Diceros bicornis minor: one gene and its partners. The protein of the gene in region 1 interacts with the protein of each later gene in a pairwise test. Links are inferred from orthologs where the notes say so. Each region holds a gene or a part of one and is shown on either strand. Other genes may lie near its edges.

What was found.
Region 2: the proteins of MCM10 (region 1) and MCM6 interact in binary tests that used the Homo sapiens proteins (3 or more experiments, as listed by UniProt). The two-hybrid records come from large-scale screens. The link is inferred for Diceros bicornis minor from reciprocal best matches to the Homo sapiens genes MCM10 and MCM6.
Region 3: the proteins of MCM10 (region 1) and TRIM37 interact in a two-hybrid assay, tested with the Homo sapiens proteins (2 studies listed by BioGRID and IntAct). The link is inferred for Diceros bicornis minor from reciprocal best matches to the Homo sapiens genes MCM10 and TRIM37.

What each region holds. Positions count from the first base shown.
Region 1 is NC_080775.1:13,615,666-13,623,364, forward strand, and holds the start of MCM10 (protein MCM10 homolog), read left to right. Parts: upstream 1-4,603; 5' UTR 4,604-4,628; intron 4,629-6,539; 5' UTR 6,540-6,631; coding exon 6,632-6,638; intron 6,639-7,699. UniProt on the Homo sapiens protein: Acts as a replication initiation factor that brings together the MCM2-7 helicase and the DNA polymerase alpha/primase complex in order to initiate DNA replication. Additionally, plays a role in preventing DNA damage during replication.
Region 2 is NC_080749.1:21,381,865-21,389,549, reverse strand, and holds the start of MCM6 (DNA replication licensing factor MCM6), read left to right. Parts: upstream 1-4,600; 5' UTR 4,601-4,641; coding exon 4,642-4,748; intron 4,749-7,685. UniProt on the Homo sapiens protein: Acts as a component of the MCM2-7 complex (MCM complex) which is the replicative helicase essential for 'once per cell cycle' DNA replication initiation and elongation in eukaryotic cells.
Region 3 is NC_080757.1:28,654,398-28,662,455, forward strand, and holds the start of TRIM37 (E3 ubiquitin-protein ligase TRIM37), read left to right. Parts: upstream 1-5,002; 5' UTR 5,003-5,447; coding exon 5,448-5,468; intron 5,469-5,737; coding exon 5,738-5,875; intron 5,876-5,892; exon of another isoform or gene 5,893-6,335; coding exon of another isoform or gene 6,336-6,341; intron 6,342-7,170; coding exon 7,171-7,272; intron 7,273-8,058. Other genes in the region: SKA2 (spindle and kinetochore-associated protein 2), read left to right, coding at 783-795. UniProt on the Homo sapiens protein: E3 ubiquitin-protein ligase required to prevent centriole reduplication. Probably acts by ubiquitinating positive regulators of centriole reduplication.

The DNA of each region.
Region 1 (7,699 bases):
GACATCATGGTGGGAAGAAGCAGAAGACATAAACGATCAGGGTACATTGTGGAAAGTTCTATGTACCCGACCAGTCGAGCGTTCTAGGAAGCACCAACTAGGAATGCTTAGCCCAGGGGGTCCAGAAGAGTTTCACAAAGGAGATGACACCTGGACTGAGGTTGGTTGGATGAGGAGGAGGTGACTAAGTAGTTAGAGTTGACCCCCTGGTTGCAGGCTTTCCAAGCAGAAGGGTTTAACTGTACAAAGGCTCAGAGACAGGCCAGAGCCTGGAATATTTGAGGAAGAGGAAACTGGTCAGTATAGCTGAAAGAAAGACTGACTCAGTGAGGAAAGATAAGAGCTGAGGTTAGTGGAAAAGTAGGCAGGAGTCAGGTCTGTAAGTAAAGGTCTTGAATGGCAAGAAGTTTGGGATTTATAGGAACTGAGGAGCTATTGATGAATTTTGATCGGGGAAAAGCCATGCCAAGATATCGCTGTAATTGAGAGTAACAAGGGAAATGGGTTGGAGGTGGGTGAGACTGGAAATAGGCCAGTTAGAGGTAAAAAGGAGAGATGAGAGCTTAAGGAGGGTCCCCAAAGTGAGGATGTCGAGGAGAGGATGGGCTCAGGAGATGTGAGAGACAATCTGTAAGACTGGGTAAGTGGACATAGAGAATGGGGAACTCTGGCAGGGGTGACCAGGGACGTACTTAGCAATATAGGCCAGCGGCATTTGGGGGAAGGAGGCTTGAGGCCAACTAACCATTCCCACTCTGCTGCCCCTTTCCCTTTCTTGTTTCGTGTTATGTTTTAAAAGGCATCTCCATGATTCTGATGCATTCTAAATTTTAGAAGCACTGCTACAGAAAGAGACAATAATTACAAGGCTGACCACAGAATGTTGGGTTCCACCTGCGGAGTTCCTGATTCAGTAGGTCTGGTGTGGGGCCCAAGCATTTGATTCTAACAAGTTCTCAGGTGGGGCTGATGCTGCAGGTCTGGGGACCAGACTCTGAGAACCCCTGCTCTATAACATTGACATTCGATACTCTCTTCTTAAAACTCGCCTTTCTTGGCATCCTGGGCCATCATTTTCCTGCAGGCCCACCCCTGACACTGGAAAACACTGGGGTCAGAATATAAATGGAGGCCCACATACCCTGTGCATAAAGTTTAAAGTTTATAGATAAAACTAACAATCTCCTTGGAGTTCACACTGAAACACAGCACCTTGAGAAGCGGGCCTCAGCTCTGCAAACCCACCTTCTCTTCTCATCTGGACTCAGTTCTGTAGCTTCTCACTAAGGTAGCCTCTGACCAAGGATGGAGACATGCCAGCCTGCTAGCCACGCTCCCATCACCCCTCTACAACCACTGCCAAACAGCCGCCCTTAGCCACTCCTTAGACAGAGGGATCCACCCCCGAAAGACAACCAGGGGAAGAGGCTAAGCAGGTCCTGGAAGCCAGAGGGCCATTAAAAATCCCACAGTCCCAAGCACTAGAACTCAGGCTACAAGAGGTTGCCCAGGATCTGGATGGGTGCATCCCCTTGGCCTCAGGACTCCTTACCCTGTGTGAGAGACACAGCTGGAAGAGGACCAGAGCAGGGGCACCTGAACCACTCCAGCTGCTCCTGCTCAACTTCTGCTGTTGGCTCCTTTGCTGTACCTCAAATGTTTGTGCTCCCCAGGTTTCTGGCCTTGTACACCAGAGGTTCTTGATTTGGAGGGGTGTCTTCAGGAAAATATGTGAATCCCCTGAAAAGGTATACAAAATCTTGATTGTACGAGTGTGCACTTTTCTGGGGGGACAAAAAAAAAACCCTATCATTTTCACTGTATTCTCAAAGAGGTCTGTGATCACCCCTTGCCAAAAGGTTAAGAAACCACTGCAATACAGATTCTTTGTGTCAGATTTCATTTTAGATATACACAGATGACTCTCAAAGCTGTTCTCCAGTACAGACGTCTCCTTTGAACCCCATATCTGGAGATCAAACTTTTCTTTTTTTTTTTCTTTTTGGTGAGGAAGATCAGCCCTGAGCTAACATCCATGCCAATCCTCCTCTTTTTGCTGAGGAAGACCAGCCCTGAGCTGACATCTATCGCCAATCCTCCTCCTTTTTTTCCCTTTTTCTCCCCAAAGCCCCAGTAGATAGTTGTATGTCATAGTTGCACATCCGGCTAGTTTTTGTATGTGGGACTCCGCCTCAACATGGCGGGACAAGCGGTGCGTCGGTGCGTGCCTGGGATCCGAACCAGGGCACCCAGTAGCGGAGCACACACACTTAACTGCTAAACCATGGGGCCGGGCTCCCCCACTTTTTTTTTTGTTGTGAGGAAGATCAGCCCTGAGCTAACATCCATGCCAATCTTCCTCTTTTTGCTGAGGAAGATTGGCCCTGAGCTAACATCCGTGCCCATCTTCCTCCACTTTATGTGGGGCGCCACCACAGCATGGCCTGATAAGCGGTGCGTCGGTGCGCGCCCGGGATCTGAACCCAGGCTGCCAGCAGTGGAGCTCGCGTACTTAACCGCTACACCATGGGGCCGGCCCCCAAACTTTTCTTAATCAGTATCTTTCACACATCTCTAAAAAAAAAATCTAAACCTATATAAAAAAACCAAATCTGACCCAGCCCTGATGGCCTAGTGGTTCACGGTCGGCGCTCACCACTTCGGCGGTCTGGGTTTGTTTCTCAGTCCTGGAACCACACCACCTGTCTGTCGGTTGCCATGCTCTGGCGGCGGCTCACGTAAGAATTAGAAGGACTTACAACTAGGATATACAACACTGCAGTGGGGCTTTGGGGAGGAAAAAAAAGAGGAATATTGGCAACAGACGTTAGCTCAGGGCCAATCTTTCCCTGAAAAAAAGAATGGAATCATTGTTCTTAAAAAATAAGTAAATAAATAAATAAAATAAATCTATCTTCTCCCCAACCCTGTTCTGTTCTTCCTGTGTTCTCTGCTTCAGTGCCTTGCCTCAAACACACCCCAAGCTCTCCTCTCTTCCCCCATCCCCCCTCCTCCCTGCATCCTTCTCTCCCTCCTAATTTTTTCTCCAAATTACCTCCACCTCCTTCCTCAAAATCACCAGTATACTAATTCCAATCATAATTGCTTGATCCCTCACTTGAGGCAAGTTTGAGGCCTTAGATCAGTACTGTTTCCTATTTCTTGCATGGAATTGGATGCAAAGTGGACCTGGAAACTCAAGGGGAAGAAAAGAACTTCAGAATAAGAATCAGAATTGGTTCAGGAGTGTTGGCATGATGGCTAAGAATAAATCCATGATGAACTTTTACAATTCCATGTGATGCATTTAAAATCCTTTCTTCAGTTTGATTACTATAGTTCCTCTGTTACCGTGAATTTTTCAACACTAGCCACTCTTAAACGTGGTATTGTTCCTATTTCTGGGTCAATATAATAGGTCCAGATAACAGGGCTAAGCTCATAAATGGAGCATTAATACTTGATTAGGACATACAAAAAAAAATCAATGTAGATGGCATCAGGACTGTTTTATTTTCCAGTCATCCTAAAGCTGATTTTAATGTTTCTGAAAATGAAGGTAAACACAGTGGACAGAGATATCATCTTATATGAAATGCATTATCAGTGGGAGAATGCAGTGCCTAAATAGTCTGAGAGAGGGAAAAAGAAAGACTAAAAATAGTCATTTGGTCCATCAAAAACTGTTCTGCTTTTAATTCTCTGAATTTCTGTAGAAGCTACATATTATTCTGCATTTAGAAACTGTGTTCTTGGAATTATGTACAAACACTATTTTTAGACCGTAAATATTTAAGTCTGAATTTTACTAAAACATATTCTGTGAAAAATCTGGTCTCCCGATAAGTTATTCTCAGCTCTGACGCCAGTTACAGTTCTCCAAGTCTACGGACCACGAATTCCTCGGAAACTGGTTTCTACTGTGTCAAATGCTGCCATCCAGCGTCTCCTTCGCATTTTACAGATGGTGAAGCGGAATCCCAACGGGATGTTACTTCCCCAAGGTCAGGCGGAGTTAATAGTCGACCAGATTTTTGTTTGTTTTTGAGTCCAGTCATCTCAATTGGACACAAGGTTGTGAAACAGCCAACTAAGTGAAACAATCAACCGGCTTGTTGGGACTTCTCCACGATCAGTCCCCCACAGGACATCTCGGGGGGCAGGAGTACGTTTGGAACGGGCTCCATGGTTTAAGCGTACACGTGCGGGCTTCTCCGCGTCCAGCGTTACCGTCCACCTCACTGAAAGAGAACAGGAGGCTCGCAAGGATCGGATGACACACTCAGTCCCGGAAAGTGTCAGGAACTGAGTTCGGACCTCCTGTGAAAATGTCACACAGGAAGTCTTCCCGGCGCTGGCCGGGGGCTCCAGAATACTCTTATCTAAAGGAGCCCGCGGCAGCAACGACCGGAAGTTCCCTTGCCCCCAAGAAAGAGGGCGCCGGTCACGGGAGCCAATCAGCTTGCTCTACGCAAGGAGCGCGCGTCGCGCTCACTCGTAGGTCTTCCACTCCGAGAGCTCTGACGTAGCCAATCAGCGCCGGCCCCACGTCTGACGTCAGACGCGGGGATGGGTTAAGTTGGAATTTTGGCGGGTCTGGCTGGAGAGGAGAGTTGGCGCGGAGTCAGGTAAGAAGTGGGGCCTGGGTGTGGGGTGGCCTTCGGGTCGCGGGGGGAGAGGGGCTGCCACGCGCGTCTGCCGGCGAGTTTAGAGAGCTCCGAGGACGGGGGCGCTGAGGTGGGCGAGACCGGAATCGGGCTGCGGGGGGGGGCGGCCTCGGGCGAACGGCCGGCCGGGGGGGGGGGGGCCGCTGGGTGCGGGTGACCGGACGGTGCGGGGCTGGGGGCTGCGTGGCACTTCTGAAATGCATCGGGGAGGCGCCAGGCGTCGGGCTGTCTTCTATATGTAAGGGATCAGGTTTTTCTGTTTAAAAACAACCTTTTAAAACGCTTGCCTAGTGCATGCTGTTTGCACTTCTTTTACTCATTCATTCGTATTTTTTTAAAAATTCATGATTTGCTAATAGTTTTCGAATACGTGCCATGTGCAGTGTTCCAAACACACATTACTTCTGCCCACTTGAAGCTTACAATCTAAAGAGGGTGACAGTTAACAGACAAGTACACGATAGTGGAAGGGGCAGTTTAGTCATGAGGAGGGTGAAGTGGAGAGGATCAACGGGGTCTAGCCAGGTAGGGTGGACTGGAAGGCTCGAAAAAAACTGATAGTTAAGCGGAGACTGAAGGATGAGAAGGAGCAGGGGAGAGCTTCCCAGACAAAGAACCTGAGGCCTGATAGCACTTGGGGTGTTCAAGAAGTTGAAAGCAGGCTAGTCTGGCTGGAGCATCCTTTGTGGGGAGGGTAGAGTTGGGCGGAGTGGACGCCTAGAAAAGATGAGGAAGTGGAAGCAGGCAAGGGGGAGTAGCCATTGCCTCGTAGGCTTTATAAATTTTGTTTTAAGGGCGATGGAAAATCATTAAAGAATTTTGATTAAGGGAATGCCACGATCTGATTTATGTTCCGAAAAGATTACTAAGGAAAGAAAAGACTGTTGTGGCTGTCATAGGGAAGCTAGATTACGAAGAGACAGAGAGACCAATACAGGAAGCTAATACAGTATAGTCCAGTCAGAAGATTGATGGTGGCTTGGACTAGGCTTTGGGTAGTGAAGTTAGGGAAGTGGAAGGTTAGAGCAATATTTTGGAACTAGAACCCATAGCACTTATTGGATGGTCCTAGTTGTGAGGGTGAGGAAGAGTGCATGGGTTTATTAGGGGGGCAAAGGGTGGTTGGTTATAGAAATGAACAAGACAGTTTGCTCCTGATGCTAAAGAAGCTTACAATCCAGTAGAAGTTTACAATCCAATTTCCCAGTAGACAACACAGTGTGGGGCACATGATGGGTCCATGGAAATGTTTGTCGAATAAATAAAAAGAAAGTACCATAATTAATACCTTGACATTGGACTTACCAAGGTCACATATATTATAGAGCACATATATGTTAAATAATAGCCTGGAAAAACTTACACCTTCTGACAATTTTAAAAAATTATTTTAAATGAAAAAAGGAAAGTGCGCGGAATAATATGAATTTATCCTAATTAGCTATGCCAGCTGTGCCTCTGAGCTTTGCTAACTAGTATTGAATAATCCTGATGCGGCTAAGGCTGCAGCTAAGTAGAACCGCGCACTAGGCTGCTAGGGATATTGTAGACATCAAATGTGTTACAATAAATAAAATGGGTTGTTAGCCCAAATATTTAGACCAGCCTCAATAATACCTGTTCCCAATTTGTCTCATCCATATAATCTAGTATCTTTGTACCTCAACCAAGTGTCTCTAGCCATACTTTGAAGACAAGAAAAAGGGGACTGCTTCTGTACTAGGAGGGAGATGGTGTTGGCAGTGGGGGTGAGAAATGGTCAGATTCTGGATGAATTCTGAGGTTAGAGCTCCTGAGATTTGTAAGATTCGGGATTTGTTGGATATGCCATGTGAGAGAGAAAGAAGATCGAGGGTGACTTTTCTAATGTAGATTTCACACAGCCAAGATTCTGCCTTACTGCCATCTCCTGTGCACCTGGTCCTCCTTCCACGTTCTCCATCATCACTGCTCTCTTGACAGCAATGGATGGTAAGTCCTGGCAGTTTTCTCATTTCTCTTTGTATCATGGAAAACCACCTTTTTGTCCCTGGACTTGTTATTTATTCTACTTGCAAAGTAGTGAAAATAGCTACCCCACCCTCAAGTATTGTCTGAGTGGTTCACAAGAGATCTTGCTTCAGTCACCGAATGTTATTTGTTTTAATCAGGTGGGATGTCTCCTTCTGGCAGCAGTAATTATCTTGCGTAATAATGATAGTTGGCGTATACTTAAAATGTGCAAAACCCTGCTCTTAGATCCTTATCTATTTTAACTGATTTAATCTTCATAGCAACCGTATTTTGTAGACAGGAAAATAGATGTTTAGTAGCTTGTCACAGGTGAAACTGTCAGAGCAGGAATTTTAACCCAGGCAGTCTGACCTCAGAGGTCACATTTAGTATTGAAATCTGTCGAAGTGGTTTTAGTTTGGCTCTGACTTAAATTATTACAGTCCTGGGCCGGCCCCGTGGCTTAGTGGTTAAGTGCACACACTCCGCTGCTGACGGCCTGGGTTCGGATCCCGGGCGTGCACCGATGCGCTGCTTCTCCAGCCATGCTGAGGCTGTGTCCCACATACAGCAACTAGAAGGGTGCAGCTATGACATACAACTATCTACTGGGGCTTTGGGGGGGGGGGGAAATACAGTCCTTTCTAATTTTGTTCATTTTGCAGAGATATGCGCGAAATATTTACCAGTAAAGAGATGTTGCTCTAATTAGCAGAGCTTAGCCTGAGAGCAGCACAGAAATGATTGTGATGGCTGTGAAGAGACCCTAGCAAATAAAATGCATTATTTTTTTGGTGTATAATTGAGCTCATTGTCTGAAACTGAATTATTTTTTCAAAATTCAAGTCTATTACATTTTGCCCTTTAAAAAAAAATAGAACCAGATGTTGTTGAAATTCATCATGCTATGATAATATGTGAAATTCATTGCACTTTTGGTATAATGATAATTTCCTGTTTCCTAAAATCACCAAATTACCTACAGGGCAGTGCTTTAATATAAAGTATACCTATTTGCTATGAGATGGTCATGGAAATAA
Region 2 (7,685 bases), on another chromosome or scaffold:
GATGTTCTCTGGTGAGTGCATCTACTCCAAGGCTTCCCCACCATCTCTTCTGAGGATTCCTCAATCTGTTTCTGCTGCCCAAATCTCTCCTAAACTTGAGAAGAAGAAAAAAAACATTAATTTCAACACATCTTTGCTTATATAACTTTTTAAATAAAGTGCTTTCATTTTATAATGTTCTTTATTTTTTTTTTTAAAGATTTTGTTTATTTATTTTTCCCCCAAAGCCCCAGTAGATAGTTGTCTGTCATAGCTGCACATCCTTCTAGTTGCCGTATGTGGGACGCGGCCTCAGCATGGCCGGAGGAGCGGTGTGTCGGTGTGCACCCGGGATCCGAACCCGGGCCGCCGGCAGCAGAGCGCGCGCACTTAACCGCTAAGCCATGGGGCCGGCCCGTATAATGTTCCTTGAATATGTTCTGGTCAAAACCTTGGAGCTGAAGATTTAGGTCATTCAATGTCCAGAAAATGTCCACCCCATAACTCACTTAGCAAAGCCCATCCTCACTATAATCAGCTCAATCAGCTAAATCATACTCAACTGTTTTATTAGAAAAAGATCCAACTTCATTCTTCAATTCAAACAAACATATTAATAGTTGTTTCAAGAAATAGTCTAAAATCCATTGGGACACAAAAATATAGAATACATTTTGTAAAATTGATGATTAAAAGCAGTCAAATCAATATTAAAATAATATAGATATAATGTAATTAACTTGTCCATTTTTTATAATAGCTATGAAAGCATGAATAAATTTATATGCAGTTTCTCATTTCTTAATTTATAATATAAGTAAGGCATAGTTAAAATGATAAGTTACTATGAATTGAGAAGTATGATGAAAGTTTAAATATTTTTTTCAGTAACTCTGTGTGTGTGTGTGTGTGTGTGTGTGTGTGTGTGTGTAATTCCGGTATTCAGCTTCTGGGAAAAATTAAATAAGTATTATATAAAAATAGGTAAAAACTGGGGCCGGCCTGGTGGCACAGCAGTTAACTGCGAACGCTCTGCTTTGGCAGCCCAGGGTCGCAGGTTTGGATCCCAGGCGCTCACCGACGCACTGCTTGTCAAGCCATGCTGTGGCGGCATCCCATATAAAGTAGAGGAAGATGGGCATGGATGTTAGCCCAGGGCCAATCTTTCTCAGCAAAAAGAGGAGGTTTGGCATCGGATATTAGCTCAGGGCTAGTTTTCCTCACACACACCAAAAAGAATAGGTAAAAGCTGCCATCATTCCCACTGCCCTCACCACTACTTTTCATAGACATCAAGATCAAACCTCTCACGCGTAAGTAACTAAAGAGGAAGGCAAATGAATAAAAAGGCACTTAGTCATGGACTGCTAAAAACTACTTGGTCAGCAGCTAGCATACAATTTCCTTATTTTGCTAATAAGAGGTAGGATATATTAAATATTTTATAAGGTAAGGATTGACTCTATTTGGAAGAAAATATTTCATAATATGATTTGATACATATCTTACTGAATATTGCACACAACCTAAAAAAAGTCACATAAAAATTTAATCTGCTGGTTTTATTCAAAGTAAGTTGAAGTGTTGGTAATCTGGGAAAATATTACAGTTAGATTTAAAAGAATCAGCATCATTAACCTGTACTGCTATAGCTGTTTGAAGGAAGGTCCCTTCCCAGCCAAAGATACGTCTCAGGAAAAAGTGCCCTTATCTTTTAAAAATTCATTCTGAAATATCTACATGTGAAATGATATGATATCTAGGATTTGCTTCAAAATCATAAGGGAGTGGTGAGAATTGTACTTTACCTTTGTCTTCCTCCCAAAACCCATAACCACAGTCTAATCACAAGAAAAACATCAGACAAATTCCAGTTGAGGGATATTTTGCAAAATACCTGAGCAGTACACCTCAAAACCACCAGTGTCATCAAAACCAAGAAAAGTCTGAGAAATTGTCACAGACCAGAGGAGACCAAGGAGACATGACAACTCACTATAATGTGGTATCTGGGTGGGATCTTGGAAGAGAAAAAGGACATTAGAAGAAACTAGTGAAATCCAAATAAAGTACGGGGTTTAGTTAAGGGTACTGTACTGAAGCTGGGTCTTCAGTTGTGACAAATGTAACACAGTAATGTAAGACGTTAACAATAGGGTAAAATAGGCACGGAATACATGAAAACTCTGTACTATCTTTTGCAACTTTTAGTAAATCTAGGACTATCCTAAAATAAATTAAGATAATAATAATAATGGAGAGGGAAAAGCAGATGGGGTGGGTGGTTGGGACAGGATTGGCCAGATGTTAATGGTTATTGGGGCTATATAATGGAAGTTCATTATCCTACTCTGACTACATTTGTGTATATTTGAAATTCTCTAATATAACAAGGTAAAAAAATACATATATTGTGTTGGGGGTCCTCAAAACCATCCTCAGGTTCAGAGATTTGCTGGGAGGACTTGCAGGACTCAGCACATAATCGTACCCACAGCTATGATTTATTATAGCAAAAGGATGGAAAATAAAATCAGCAAAGGGAAAAGGCACATGGGGTGAAGTCCAGAGGAGACCAAGCACAAGCTTCCTAGAGTCCTCTCCCTATGGAGTCATACAGAATGTGCTTAATTCCTCCCCGGCATCAAACTGTGGCAACAAACATGTCACATTGTCTAGCAGGGAAGCTCATTAGAGAAGCCCAGGAGTTTTTACTGGGGGCTGGTCACATAGGCACCCTCAACCTAGCACATGTCAAGATTCCAGACTCTCAGAAGATATTCAGCATAAACCACATTGTCGGTACAAATATTTTAGACACAGTGAGCCATGCTTATCATTTAGAGAAAGGGTCTTATCAGCGTAGGGAACTGTTTACCAGTCAGGTTCCCAAATGCCAGCCAAAGGCCAACGTTACAAGCAGGCCTTTCTAAGGATAGCAGTCTCAGGCCTACACACACACACACACACACACACACACAAACACACACACTCCCCGAGGCATACAACTCTCTGGGATATAGCACAGAGATGTTTCATAACTCACACCCTCCGCCTGCCATGGAAGGTATCCCCACAACTCTCACTTGGAGACCTCATCTCCTATTCTGGTCCAGAAGTACAGGCCTGAAGGAGGAAGGGAGGACCTCTGAGGTGTGGAGGGCTGAGAAGAGGAAGTCCCAGATTTCTCAGTGGGCATAGCTGCAAATTAGCCTGGAACTCTGCACTCCTGTTCTTTGTTTTTTTTCCTTCTGTACATGGAACTTCAGTTTTGAAAAATCTACCCTGAGGAAAGAAGAGGAAGAGAAGGGAGGAAAGCAAAAATGGGAAAGAAAAGAATGAGGCCTTTTGAGAGGATGAGGCAGAATCTGGTCAGCAAACTGCTCCTAGATATCCTCTGGATCTGTTCTTAGTGCAGAAGGGTTATGAATATCATGAAGCACCTTTGAGTTTCAGGTTCCTAAAATACATACAAGTGGTGATGGCCAGCAGGCAGACAGATTTTGGAGCTGGTGAAAGGCTGAGGGACACAAGACGGCCAGGGTTCCCCCCATCTCCTTCAAACCAGGTAATACAATCTGATACACTGCAGTACACCAGCAATGAGTATTTTTGTTAAACTTTGTAAATATCTTATGAATAGTGTATTTGTATATGTGTATGTGTGTGTGTGTACTAAAAGAATTACTATAGCTTCCGTTACCCTGTTTGGTATTAAAAAAAATTTTATTTAATATGCCAGAAGTCTCAAAAAATGGAAGTCGCCCAGGATTCTCTTAATCTCTTGGCAGCCCAGGAAAGAGTGCTGGCTGGTGATACACATTTAGAAGTCATCAGCACCCAGATGTTAATCAAAGCCAAGGGAGAGAAGGGGGTCGCCCAAGAGAGCTCCTTTACGGGAAAGGAGGGCTCTGGAACCAGAACATTTAAGGGACTCGCTGAAGAAGAGGCGCCTACAAAGGAGGCTAACCAGGAATGGCCCAAGAGATTCTCCTATCGGGAGAGGAAAGACGGCCAAACAGGCGGGAAGGAAGACCGGGGGGGCGGCAAGCCAAGCCCGCGTTTAAGAGAGGAATTAATCAACAGTGTCAAACATTTGGCTAATTTTCCTCGGTCAGCACCAACCAGAATGATTCTGCCAACTCCTCCATCTCGCCGGTACTGTCTATACATCCCTAGTGGCTCTTTTAGTTTTACCCAGCGGTTTACTGTTTACTTTCTCCAATCAGACGGCTCAAGCAGGAGGTCTCTTACTCATTTTTCTCTTTCACAGAGCCTTACGCCTACTGCTCAGTTAATACCGTGGAATGATTTGAAGAACATTTGAACACCTGAACAAAGATCCAACCTTACAACTTGCTCCAGAAGCCAAATTCCCCAGGACACGACCACACTGCGCAGGCGCAAAGGCAGAAGCGCCGGCTTTCTCCGGGTCTTTGCGTTTGGCGCGAAATCCCCGCTCCGTGGGCGGGGCTGAGGCAGAAGCCGCGCTCATTGGGCAGGTTTGGCGCGAAATCCCCCGGGCTCCTGCGCCACGATTGGCTCCGTACGTCCAGGTGGGGCGAAGGGGCGGGGAGGCGGCGGCGCGCGCAAAGCGACAGCGTCCGGGGGGCAGCGACTTGTGGCGGTCGAGCGTGGTGGCCCCGTCAGCGCTAGGCAGCCATGGACCTCGCGGCAGCGGCGGAGCCGGTCGCCGGCAGCCAGCACCTGGAGGTCCGCGACGAGGTGGCCGAGAAGTGCCAGAAACTGTTCCTGGACTTCTTGGAGGAGTAAGTGTGCGGGCGCCCCTTCCTCGCGGAACTGCCCCTCCCCGCTTCCGGAGCCCGGGGGGCCGTGGGGTCGCTGCGTGTTCGGGAACCGAGGTGTCGCGCGCCTCTCAGAGCGGCCCACGCCCCACTTGGGGCTCAGCCTGGCCGCCGCGAGGAGCCCTGGACGGGCTGGGCTGGTTTCCAGGGGTACAGTCCATCTCGAGCCCTCCCTCAAACTCTTGCTGGGCCCAGTGCCCAGTGCTAAGCGCTTTACTCCCATCGCTCGGTCCTCACAGCCCGTGAGGCCGGTGGTCGTGTAGCCCCGGTGCCCTGCGCGGAAACTGAGGCTCGGTGAGGAGAAGTAAGAGGCCACGCGTCGACAGGGTCGGGCGGGAGGCCGAACTGGCCTTGGAATCCTGGCGGAGCCCTCATTGGACAGGCAGCCAGCACCCGGGTGCTGGGAGCCCCGAGGCCCCCCGCAGCCCTCGGGGCCTGTGCAGATGAAAGTACTGGAGTGAACCCTGGGGTTTGACAGCTGCTCGGTGAGGGTGAGCCCTGCCCTGCTTAAAAGTAGCTGAACGTACGCCCTCCATCCCCTCCTTCCTTCCTTTCCTTCCAACCCCCACCCCCACTTTTTTTTTGAGTTGCCTTCTAGGCTCCTGACCTCTCCTAACCCCCTCCCTGACTTTCCACCACGGCCACAGTTACTTCTCTTAGATAGTGTAGATAACATCACTGCTTTCCCTGAGAGTATGGTCTCTGCTGCCTCCAGGATGAAGTGGAAACACTATGGAATGTCTTATAAAATCCTTTTTTTTAATTGTAGTAAAATATACATAACATAAAATTTACCGGTTTAACCTTTTTTAAGCATAGAGTTCGGTGGCATTAAATACATTCATCTTGTTATGCAACCACCACCACCATCCATCTCCAGCACTCCTCTTCCCAAACTGAGACTCTGCACCCACTAAACAAGAACTCCCCGTTCCTCCTGCCCCCCAGCACCTCGCAACCACCGTTCTGCTTTCTGTCTATGAATTTGACTGCTTTAGGTATTTCATATACTTGGAGTCATACGGTATTGGTCCTTTTGTGACCAGCTTATTTCACTTGGCATAATGTCTTCAAGTTTCATTCATGTCATAGCATGTGCCAGAATTTCCTTTTTCAGGCTGAATAATATTTCATTGTATGTATATACCACATTTTCTTTCTCCATTCATCTATCCATGGACACTTGGGTTGCCTCCACACTTTTATGATTGTGAATAATTCTGCTGTCTTATGAAATTCTAATATACTTAAAACCATAATTTAATTTATAGTTCCTTACCTTTGGTGGTTATTCTCTGCTTGACAGCGGAGAATAGCTAAAGCCTAGCTAAAGGCTCATACTTCCTTTGTGAAACCCTATAAACTTTCCAGGCAGCACCAATCCTTTCTTCCCTTATGCTCCCAAGATGCCATTTTCCGTTATCTCTTGTAATGTAACATTATGTCTTTACCTGTCACCCACTTCATTTTGAATATGAATCCCATCCTTAACCCCACCTAGGCACCACACTACACTGCAAAGGTCCTCAATTAATGTTTCATTTCAACAAATAATATAATTGCCTCCACTGCCTTGCAGTTTACCAGGTAGCTAGATGCTGGGGACAATGATGAACAAGACAAATAATCCCTGTACTTTGTTGGGGGAAAAGATGTTAACTCCCTCTCAAAATAACCAACTTTGATTTGCCATTGCTTATGGAATAAAGGCCAAATTCTTCACAAGTCCTCTTTCCAGTTTCGTCTTCCACAACTGACCTGTCATCATCCACACTCCCCCCCATACCTTTTCTGACTTTGCCACATATTTGCAAACATCTGTAGCCAGTCTATCCACCACTCGTTTTTCTTTAAGATTGTAAGTCTTTCAAGGCTGAATTCCAGTGCCACCTTTTAGATGCATGAAGCCTTTCCAGATGTTCCTGTTAAGCAGAATTAGTTTAAATTCCCTTATCACATTTCTTTTACCTCCTCCTTTTTTTTCTTTCTTTTTCTTTTTTTATTTTATTGTGGAAAGAACACTTAACGTGCGATCTGCCCTCTTAAACAGATTTTTAACTGTACAATATATTACTGTTAACTGTAGGTACAGTGTTGTACAGTAGGTTAGAGCTTATTCATCTTGCTTGACTGAAACTTAATGCCGGTTGATTAGTACCTCCACATTTCCCCCTTCCTCCAGCCCCTGGCAACCACCATTCCACTCTTTGATTCTATGAATTTGACTATTTTAGATACCTTATATAAGTAGAATCATGCACTATTTGTCTTTCTGTGATTGGCTCATTTCACTTAGCTTAACCGTCTTCAAGGTTCATCCATGTTGTCACATTGCAGAATTTCCTTTTTTAAGGCTGAACAGTATTCCATTGTATGTGTATACCACATTTTCTTTCTTTATTCATTTGTCATGGACATTTAGGTTGTCTTGTACCGCTGTTTAGTAGGAATGTCTGCTAGAGAGTGTCAACCCAGGAACAACACTGTCATTTTCAGTTTCAGGTACCTTTGGCATAGTACTTTGCGTATAGATGTTGTTCAGTAAATATAACAGAGTTAGAACATGCTATTATAGGAGAAGGAATTGATTTCACCTCAAAACTAATCTGCGTGTTATGTTAAAAGACCAAAAAGCAAATATGTTTGTATAATACTCCTTTTGGAAACAAGCACACACCAGCTTTATTTTGTGTATATATATGTTTCTGTTTTCCTGAGATCTTGGGCAGTGAAGCACCTCATTTCTGTGTATTTTTATTCTCGTTCTTAAATCAGCAACTAATCTGTCAGTTTCCCTATAAAAATTGAATCTTTGGATTTTAATTTGAATTTCTTGCTTTAACATTTTCCAATCTTAATTATACATAACAGTAATAAAAGTAGTTAGTATTTGTTGATGAG
Region 3 (8,058 bases), on another chromosome or scaffold:
CTGAGTCCTTACATTGTTGAGCTGCTGAATAAACCAGTCTTGAAGTTTGCCCTTTTGTATTTATTGTGCAATGATAATACATTTTCTTATTATTTATCCATTTTGAAATGTGTTTCTATTAACTTGCAGCCAAAAGCCTCTTAATTATCCTTCAAAATTTAGCCTAAGTGTCTACTTCTGAGGAAACTTCCAGACTATTTTTGTTCACACTTCTTTTTCAAAATACTTTTAAAATATAGCATTCAAACGTGACTTCTGGGCTGGCCCCATGGCCTAGTGGTTAAGTTTGTCACGCTCTGCTTCGGCAGCCTGGGTTTGGTTCCCAGGCGTGGTCCTCCACCACTTGTCGGCAGTGTGGTAGTGACCTGCGTATAAAGTGGAGGAAGATTGGCACAGGTGTTAGCTCATGGCTAATCTTCCTCAAGCAAAAAAAAGAGGAAGACTGGCAACAGATGTTAGCTCAGGGCTAATCTTCCTCAGCAAAAACAAACAAAAAAACAAATGTGACTTCTTTGGTTCTGTTAAATTCCAGTCTTAAAATTGTTTCTTGGTCTTATTTCTTCAACTTAATTGCAAGTGCTTTGGAAACTCCAACATCAAAGTACCTTGTATGTAGATAAGCAAATATCTATTTTTTCTCTGCCTTCCTAAATTTGTGATCACATACATACATAGTGTGAGCTTATGGAAACATTTGTTGGTGTGACAAAGGAGAAGTTAACTAAATCAATTTAACAGTCTTTAAAGCTTTTAAAATAAAGATTTTGTCATTTGTTTTCTAGTTATCACCACTGACTGAAGAAGAGAAAACTGCAGCAGAGCAATTAAAATCTCACATGTCAGATTTATGAAGAAATGGACCTGCAAGAGGGAACTCTAATGGAGAAGAGATCAATTCCAGAGAGGTTTAGGAAGATGTCTTGTTAGCAGTTGATAACTAGAGGTGGGGGGATGGTGAAGGAGAAGATTTGGCTTGGGTGACTGGATAGTGTGCCTTTCACAAGAGAGGGGAATATAGGAGGGGCAGATATTATATTAATAATTAGCCAAAAGGATAGAATGGGAATAAAGGGATTTAAAAAATATATGCACATACTCTTAGTCTTATCATTTCAGGCAAGGAATTCTCTTAATACTATTTTGCATCTGTTTTTGTATAATTAGGATAACATAGGTGTCCTGGCCTATTGTAAAAGAATATTTGTGTACTATCAGTCAAACGTGAATGAGCATGCTTTGGAAATTAAAGGATAGAAAAAATATTTGTATTATATATGTAGATAATTTTATTTTGGAAAATTTTGATTGCAAATGTGCTCACATTATCTGTGAGACTAATATGTGACCTACAGTCTCCTACAAAACCTAACTTTAGTAGTAAGCTGGCTTTTCTAAGACAGCCTCACTTTTGTTTCTTTTTTTCCTATTCCTTATGCCTACTAATGTTGAACAGCATGAGCTCTGCTTTCAAATGCTGTTTCAGATGGTCCCTCTTGTATTTCCTTTTTTTTTTTTTTTTGTGAGGAAGATCAGCCCTGTAACATCCAATTCTGATCCTCCTCTTTTTTGCTGAGGAAGACTGGCCCGGGGCTAACATCCATGCCCATCTTCCTCTACTTTATATGGTACGGCGCCACAGCATGATTTGACAAGCTTTGCTTCAGTGCACACCCAGGATCTAAACCTGCGAACCCCGGGCGGCAAAGCAGAGTGCTCGCACCTAACCGCTGCGCCACCGGGCTGGCCCCTCCCTCTTGTATTTCAATACTACCTTTGTTCTCTTTCAGCCTATATTACTATAGTTGTTCATTCTATATGAAAAGTAAGAAACTGAAATCAGAGGAGCACTGGCTATTGCTACTTGCCAGTTTGTGTGTGTGTGTGTGCGTGTATGTGAATTTCCCTATTTATTTTTAAATAACTATGGGCAATAAGGTAATTGTTCAAAGTAGGGACAGATCTTGATACAAAGATGTTAATCAGAGTTATCTATAATAGAAATACACATACATATCCAGCTACTGGTATCTAAATAGGAAAGGAAATCATGTGTATCTATACAATAAGAGGTCAAGTTGCCAATAAATTATTACTGTTAATGTTCTGGGAAATGCTGAAGCTATGCTAAATGGGAGAGAAGAGAAGCACATCTTGCAGTTTTATAGTTAAGATTGGGCTTTGGAGTCATACCTGAGATGTAAATAGCAGGTTTTCAAATCTGGCTATGTGACCTTGAGCAAATCACTTAACTTCTATGTGTCAGGATGGTTGGAAGCACAATGAGATGGTAAAGTGGTTGGGTCTGATATTTAGTAATCCTTCAATAAATGGTTTTTCCATATATGTAATAAAAATAAGGCATTGAAAAGACTAGGAAAAATGCATCAAATGTTAGTTCTGCAGGTTAGAGAATTACACTTTCATATAATTAAAAAAATTTCTGTTGTGAGCATGTAGTTGTCCATTAAAAAACTTATAATAGCTGACAGACACGGTTGGGAGAGTAGCTTCAGTTAAAATTGTCCTGTCTAATTTAAGAACAGAAAGCTCCCCTTTTTTAAATTACAGAGAAATAAGTCACACCTTAGTAACAGATATTAATTTTCTTCAGTATTCAGGCAATTAATATTAAGGAAGTTTCTGTTGGGGGATGGCCCTGGGATATGATATTGATTGGTGGGATTGAAAAATGATAGTATCATGAGGTCATAACAAGTTCCTGGTGTTCAAGTGGTTTTGCTTTCACTTGGGAAAAATACTAGACTGTACTGTTTTTCCTTCCTTCTCAGCTATCTTCGAAATGTTGGTTCTTCCCCTCATCTCCCTTAAAATTGTTCTCTATGCACTTCTTTATATATTCATTTGTTTCCCAAGCTTCATTTATTGTCTCTTTGTGGATAATTCCCAAATATAACTCTTGCACTAGATCTACATCCATATTTCCAATGAAAACCTTTACTTGAGTATTCAAATTGAACACGTCAAAAATACTTACTGATTTCGTTATTGGCCACTATTCTGGTTAGTTGATAAAATCTATAATTTTGTCTCTGGAATGTTCATAGTTTCCAACCTCCACTTCATTCTTACTACCCTAATTTAGACCTTTTATTTCCCATCTGGATAATTGTTTTCTCTTATGTGACTATAGTGTTTTTATGTTTTTAGTTGTAAGTAATAAAAATTAATTTTAATTAAGTTGTTTTAATGCAACTTTAATTTTAAGAAATTTAAAAATACAAGTGTGCCTATTCTCCAGAAGTAATCTGCAGTTTCTTCAGATGTTTCTACATGTATACAAATTAAATTTTTTTTCATTACAAAAATAGGCTGATACCACACATTGTACTGCAGCTGCACTTGGTTTTTTCATTTTAAATATATTTTGGATATCTTCATGTCACAAATCTGCCATTCTTTTGAACAGCTGTAATCCAATATATGGGTGTCCCATAATTTTTACTAGTACTTTATTGATAGGCTTTAAGCTGCATAATAGACAAGTTAGGAGATTTGTCTGGGGCAGGGGCAGTAATGGGGGGAGGGCAGTAAGGTCAGCCTTTAAGGAATTCTGATGGAGCAGATTACAGGCTTCCCAACTCCACAGTGTGTAGTTTAGCATCCTGCCAACTAACTTCTTTTTTGCTTAAGTTAGCCAGAATCTGACTTTGTGCTTGCAACCAATGACTAGCTGTACAGGTTTTCTAATTTTTCAGTTATAAACTATTGTAATAAATCCTGAAACGTTTTTGGGTTCTTGGGCAAATATATCTATTTGTACAAGAACCTATTGTAATATTTATCATATATATTTTAATTTGTCTTATTCTTTTCTACTATACTGGGTTGCAAAGACCATTTCTCATTACTCTTTGAATCTCAAGTAGTGTTCTATAAATTTTTTTGAGGTAAAATTCACATAACATAAAAATTAACCATTTAACATTATTAAAGTGTACAATTGAGGGCATTTTAGTACAAATGGTGTTGTGCTACCATCACCTCAATGTTGTTCCAAGACCATGAATAATTGTTGGTGAACGAATTTTTCCGTCACAGATTAATCTTCCTAATTTATATCTTTGTCCATGGCTCACATAGTTTAAAAAAATTGTTGTTATCCACTACTTATAAGAAAGTCCAAATGCCTTGATACCAAGAACTTCTTTCTAGATTGTTGATTCTCTACATGTGCACTTTAGGTTGGGTTAAGTATAGTAGGTATTTGCAACAAACCAGAATGGAAAAATTAAGTTCAAATTAAGAATTTGATGTACGTCCTTTATCTCACACCTTCAATTCCTGCAATCGTTAAACATCTCTTATGCTAGAGAATTGTAGAAAGCAGACGCCAATAGAAGAAAGTTGAAGACAGCTGATAACCCTTGTGCACTTTCCATAGTTCCAGAGTAACAGCTCACCTCAAGCGGCAAGAAATGCAGGGCTGGGGTGGGGTGGGGTGTGGTATCGGTCTGATGTCTACACAGTCTGCGGTCTTTTCCTCCCACCCCGAAATGAGAAGCCCCACCGGTCTAAGCTTCATGATCTGGAGCTTTGCTTGCGTAGGTGGGGCGGAAGTCTTAAAAACCTGAGAATCTGGGCTTCCTCCCCGAGAACGAACTACCAGCCGAGAATCCTTTGCACCATGGTTTCTCAAAGCGCGGGCCACAGAGTGGTTGTTGAAAACGTGGATTGCATGGAGCCCCACCCTAGAATCACCGAGTCCGAATACCCAAGGGTGTGGCTCCGGAGTCGGCGTTCTCCACTAGCACACCAGGTGCCTCCGGTCATTGGCGCGCAAAACTTTGAGACGGGTGGAGCGCTGCCCCTCCCCCGAGGGGGGCGGGGCGAAGCGAAGCGCTAAGCTCCTGGCCGCCTGCGCTAGCCTGGGGCCGAAGGCACGCAACCCTGCGGCAGCGAGCCGCCAAATCTCGTCTGCGCACCCGCAACGCGGGAACTAGGGGTCCGCCCCGCCGCTGCACTCCCCTAACGCAGCGTCCTGCGCGCATGCGCGCCGCGCCTTCCCTAGCCGCCGCGGCTCCAGCTGCCCTGGTTACCGTTGGTGTTTGCGAACTCCCTGCACCGCCGTCTTCGCTGGAGACCAGCGCCGCCCGGCTGTAGCAGCGGTTCGATACCCCGCGTCACGTGGGCCGAGACTCCCTCGCGGTCGCTGGCGGGCGGCTGAGCCGGGAGGAAGGAGCTGCGGCCACAGCTCGCCCTCCCACTGCGCCCTGTGGCGGGCTCGCGAATAAAAATGGCGAAGGGGGGGTAGCTGGCGCCGAACCCGAAGCGATGGGGCGCGCAGGTGGGACAGTCGTCGGAGCACCCTGACGTGGGCGCCGGGCTGTTCTCCGCGGCGATTTGTCCCGGCGACCTCGGGCCGGCGCCTTCTAGGTCAGTCTACGGACTCCGCGGGTCGCCAAGGGCCCCGCCGAGAGCCGGAGGCAATGGATGAACAGAGCGTGGAGGTGAGGGGGCTTGAGGTGGGTGGTGGTTAGTCTACCCCCCGCCCCCCCCGCTAAGCGTTCTTTATTTCTTTATCCGGGGCGCTTTGCCCTAGTCCTCCCTCTGGTAGGGCACCCCACCCTGCCGCTGTGGAGAGGGCCTCCCCCCGTGCGAAGGACACAGCGCTTATTTGCAGCCTTCCAGGTGCCTTGTGCTCTGGCCGTTCCCGCAGTCAGATGGTTCGTATCCTGGCCTTTTCTGGATGTCTTGGCACCGGTATTCATCCCCACAGGGTTTTTGCAAAGTACAGCGTGTGCAGAGCAAAACTGCGAATTCATCAGATGGACGTGCCCTGCGACTCGCCACCAGTTCTTGCGAGTTTACGCGCGGATCCACATCTTCCGAATGGACAAATCATTCCCGCCCAGCGGTACATTTTGCAGCCCTTCCTAGATTGAATGAAGATATACTCTTACTATCCTATTTGACTGTAGTTTTCCGGAAAAACCTATTATTTTTATATCTGACTCTTGTAAGCTGTGATTTCGAATGGTTGGGATATTTACATTAAGGCTAGCAACATAAAAAAGATTGTTTATTAGACTCAATTATATAATAATTGTCAAATTTTGATCCTTCCAAGTACTAAATCTTTGCTTCTCAGTAAGGGGCAACTATGTTACTGGGCACTCCACTTGGAACTAGTTAACCCAGTGGTCGTATTGGCCACCCCCCCACGTCTGCATGTCACAGGTTCTTTCTGGTCCTGCAGAGTCATGATGAGACTCATGAGTAATTTTTTCCTTAATTCCTCGTGTGAAAGTATCATAAAGGTTTTGTAACCTTACCTTGGTTTTGGGAGAGTTTAATTCTCCTGGAATGGAGTCAAAATGAATGTGAGTACTGTAAAAACAAACATAAAATATATAATAACCTGTATTTAATTGTATCTGTTTTCTTGTCAGTTACTTCCTAAATTGATTCATCTAAGGCTTGCAAAGATAATACTGCTTTTTCTATTTATGTAATTTTTTTTCTTCCCAGAGCGTTCATAGAGCTACCACCAAAACTCAATAGGGGCAGAATCTCAGGCTCAAATAAATAGCTAGTTGGTTTCAGCATCAGGGCAGAAATTTGGATTTCTGGATTCTGAATTAGTTTTTCTCGTGATCAAAGCACACTGCTATTAGGATATGTATCTTTTTAAACCTTTTTTTTTAAGTTATAAAAGCAGTCCATCCTCTTGGGGAAAGTGCAGAAAACAGTAGAAAGTTCATATTGTTCATTCAATTATATAGTTTTTTTTTCTTACTGTTATACATCATAAGCATTTTTCTGTATCATTAAATAATTCAAAAAATATTTCTAGTGATTATCATAATCTGTATTAACTGCCATAGTTTAATTAGTATTTGGATATTTGGGCTAATAGCCAGATTCTTGCCATTATAATTAATGCTTCAGTGAAAATATTTGTGCATAAGTCTATGTTTGCGTTTCATATCTTTTCCTTAGAATAGAATCATTGAAAGCTTAGAAAAAAGGAAGCACCTTTTCCAGGAGACGTTCTCAGGTACCCTGGACCTTGACTAACCAAGTCCTGATATGGTATAAAGTTATCAGCCCAAAATAAATGTAAATATTGAGTGAATTATTTTAAGCATGCCTTTTACTCTTCATGCAGTAGCCTAATGTGGTGGACTTTACATCTTTTACTATTTTCAGAGCATTGCTGAGGTTTTCCGATGTTTCATTTGTATGGAGAAATTGCGGGATGCACGCCTGTGTCCTCATTGCTCCAAGCTTTGTTGTTTCAGCTGTATCAGGGTAAGTTGTATTTCTTTTTACGTGCATTTAGTATATATAGGATATATCGTAAAAAGTAACCTTTTCCTTTATCTTTTTTGTATTTTACATTTTGGACCCTTTTTAAAAATATCTTAAATGAGGGGCCGGCCCAGTGGTGCAGCGGTTATGTGCGCGGGCTCCGCTTTGGCGGCCCAGGGTTCACAGGTTCGGATCTCGGGCACGCACCAATGCACCAGTTGTCAAGCCATGCTGTGGAGGTGTCCCATATAAAGTAGAGGAAGTTACTTTAGGATGTTAGCCCAGGGCCAGTCTTTCCCAGAAAAAAAAGGAGAATTGGCATCGGATGTTAGCTCAGGGCTGATCTTCCTCACACACACAAAAAAATCTTAAATGAATATTCCTTAAGACCGTCGATGTATATTGTTTAGTACAGGGAGATGAATAATCATCAAATGATAACTGCCATGAAATGTCTGGAAATCAAAGCCCAGTGTAATTTAGTATATTTACGTTAAGTCACTGCACATTTAACAAGTAGTTATGAAGTGCTTGCCTGCATTGTGTTTGTGGTTGAGGGATGTTAAGATATGTGAGAAAGTGTTTGCCCTGAAGGAGCTTAAATCTAAGTGAGAGGATGGACTTTGAGTTTATGTTGAAGAATGTGTAGTGTCATAAAGAGGCGCTAACATGGGCCGGCCCCGTGGCTTAGCGGTTAAGTGCGTGCGCTCTGCTGCTGGCGGCCCGGGTTCGGATCCCGGGCACACACCGACGCACCGCTTCTCCGGCCATGCTGAGGCCGCGTCC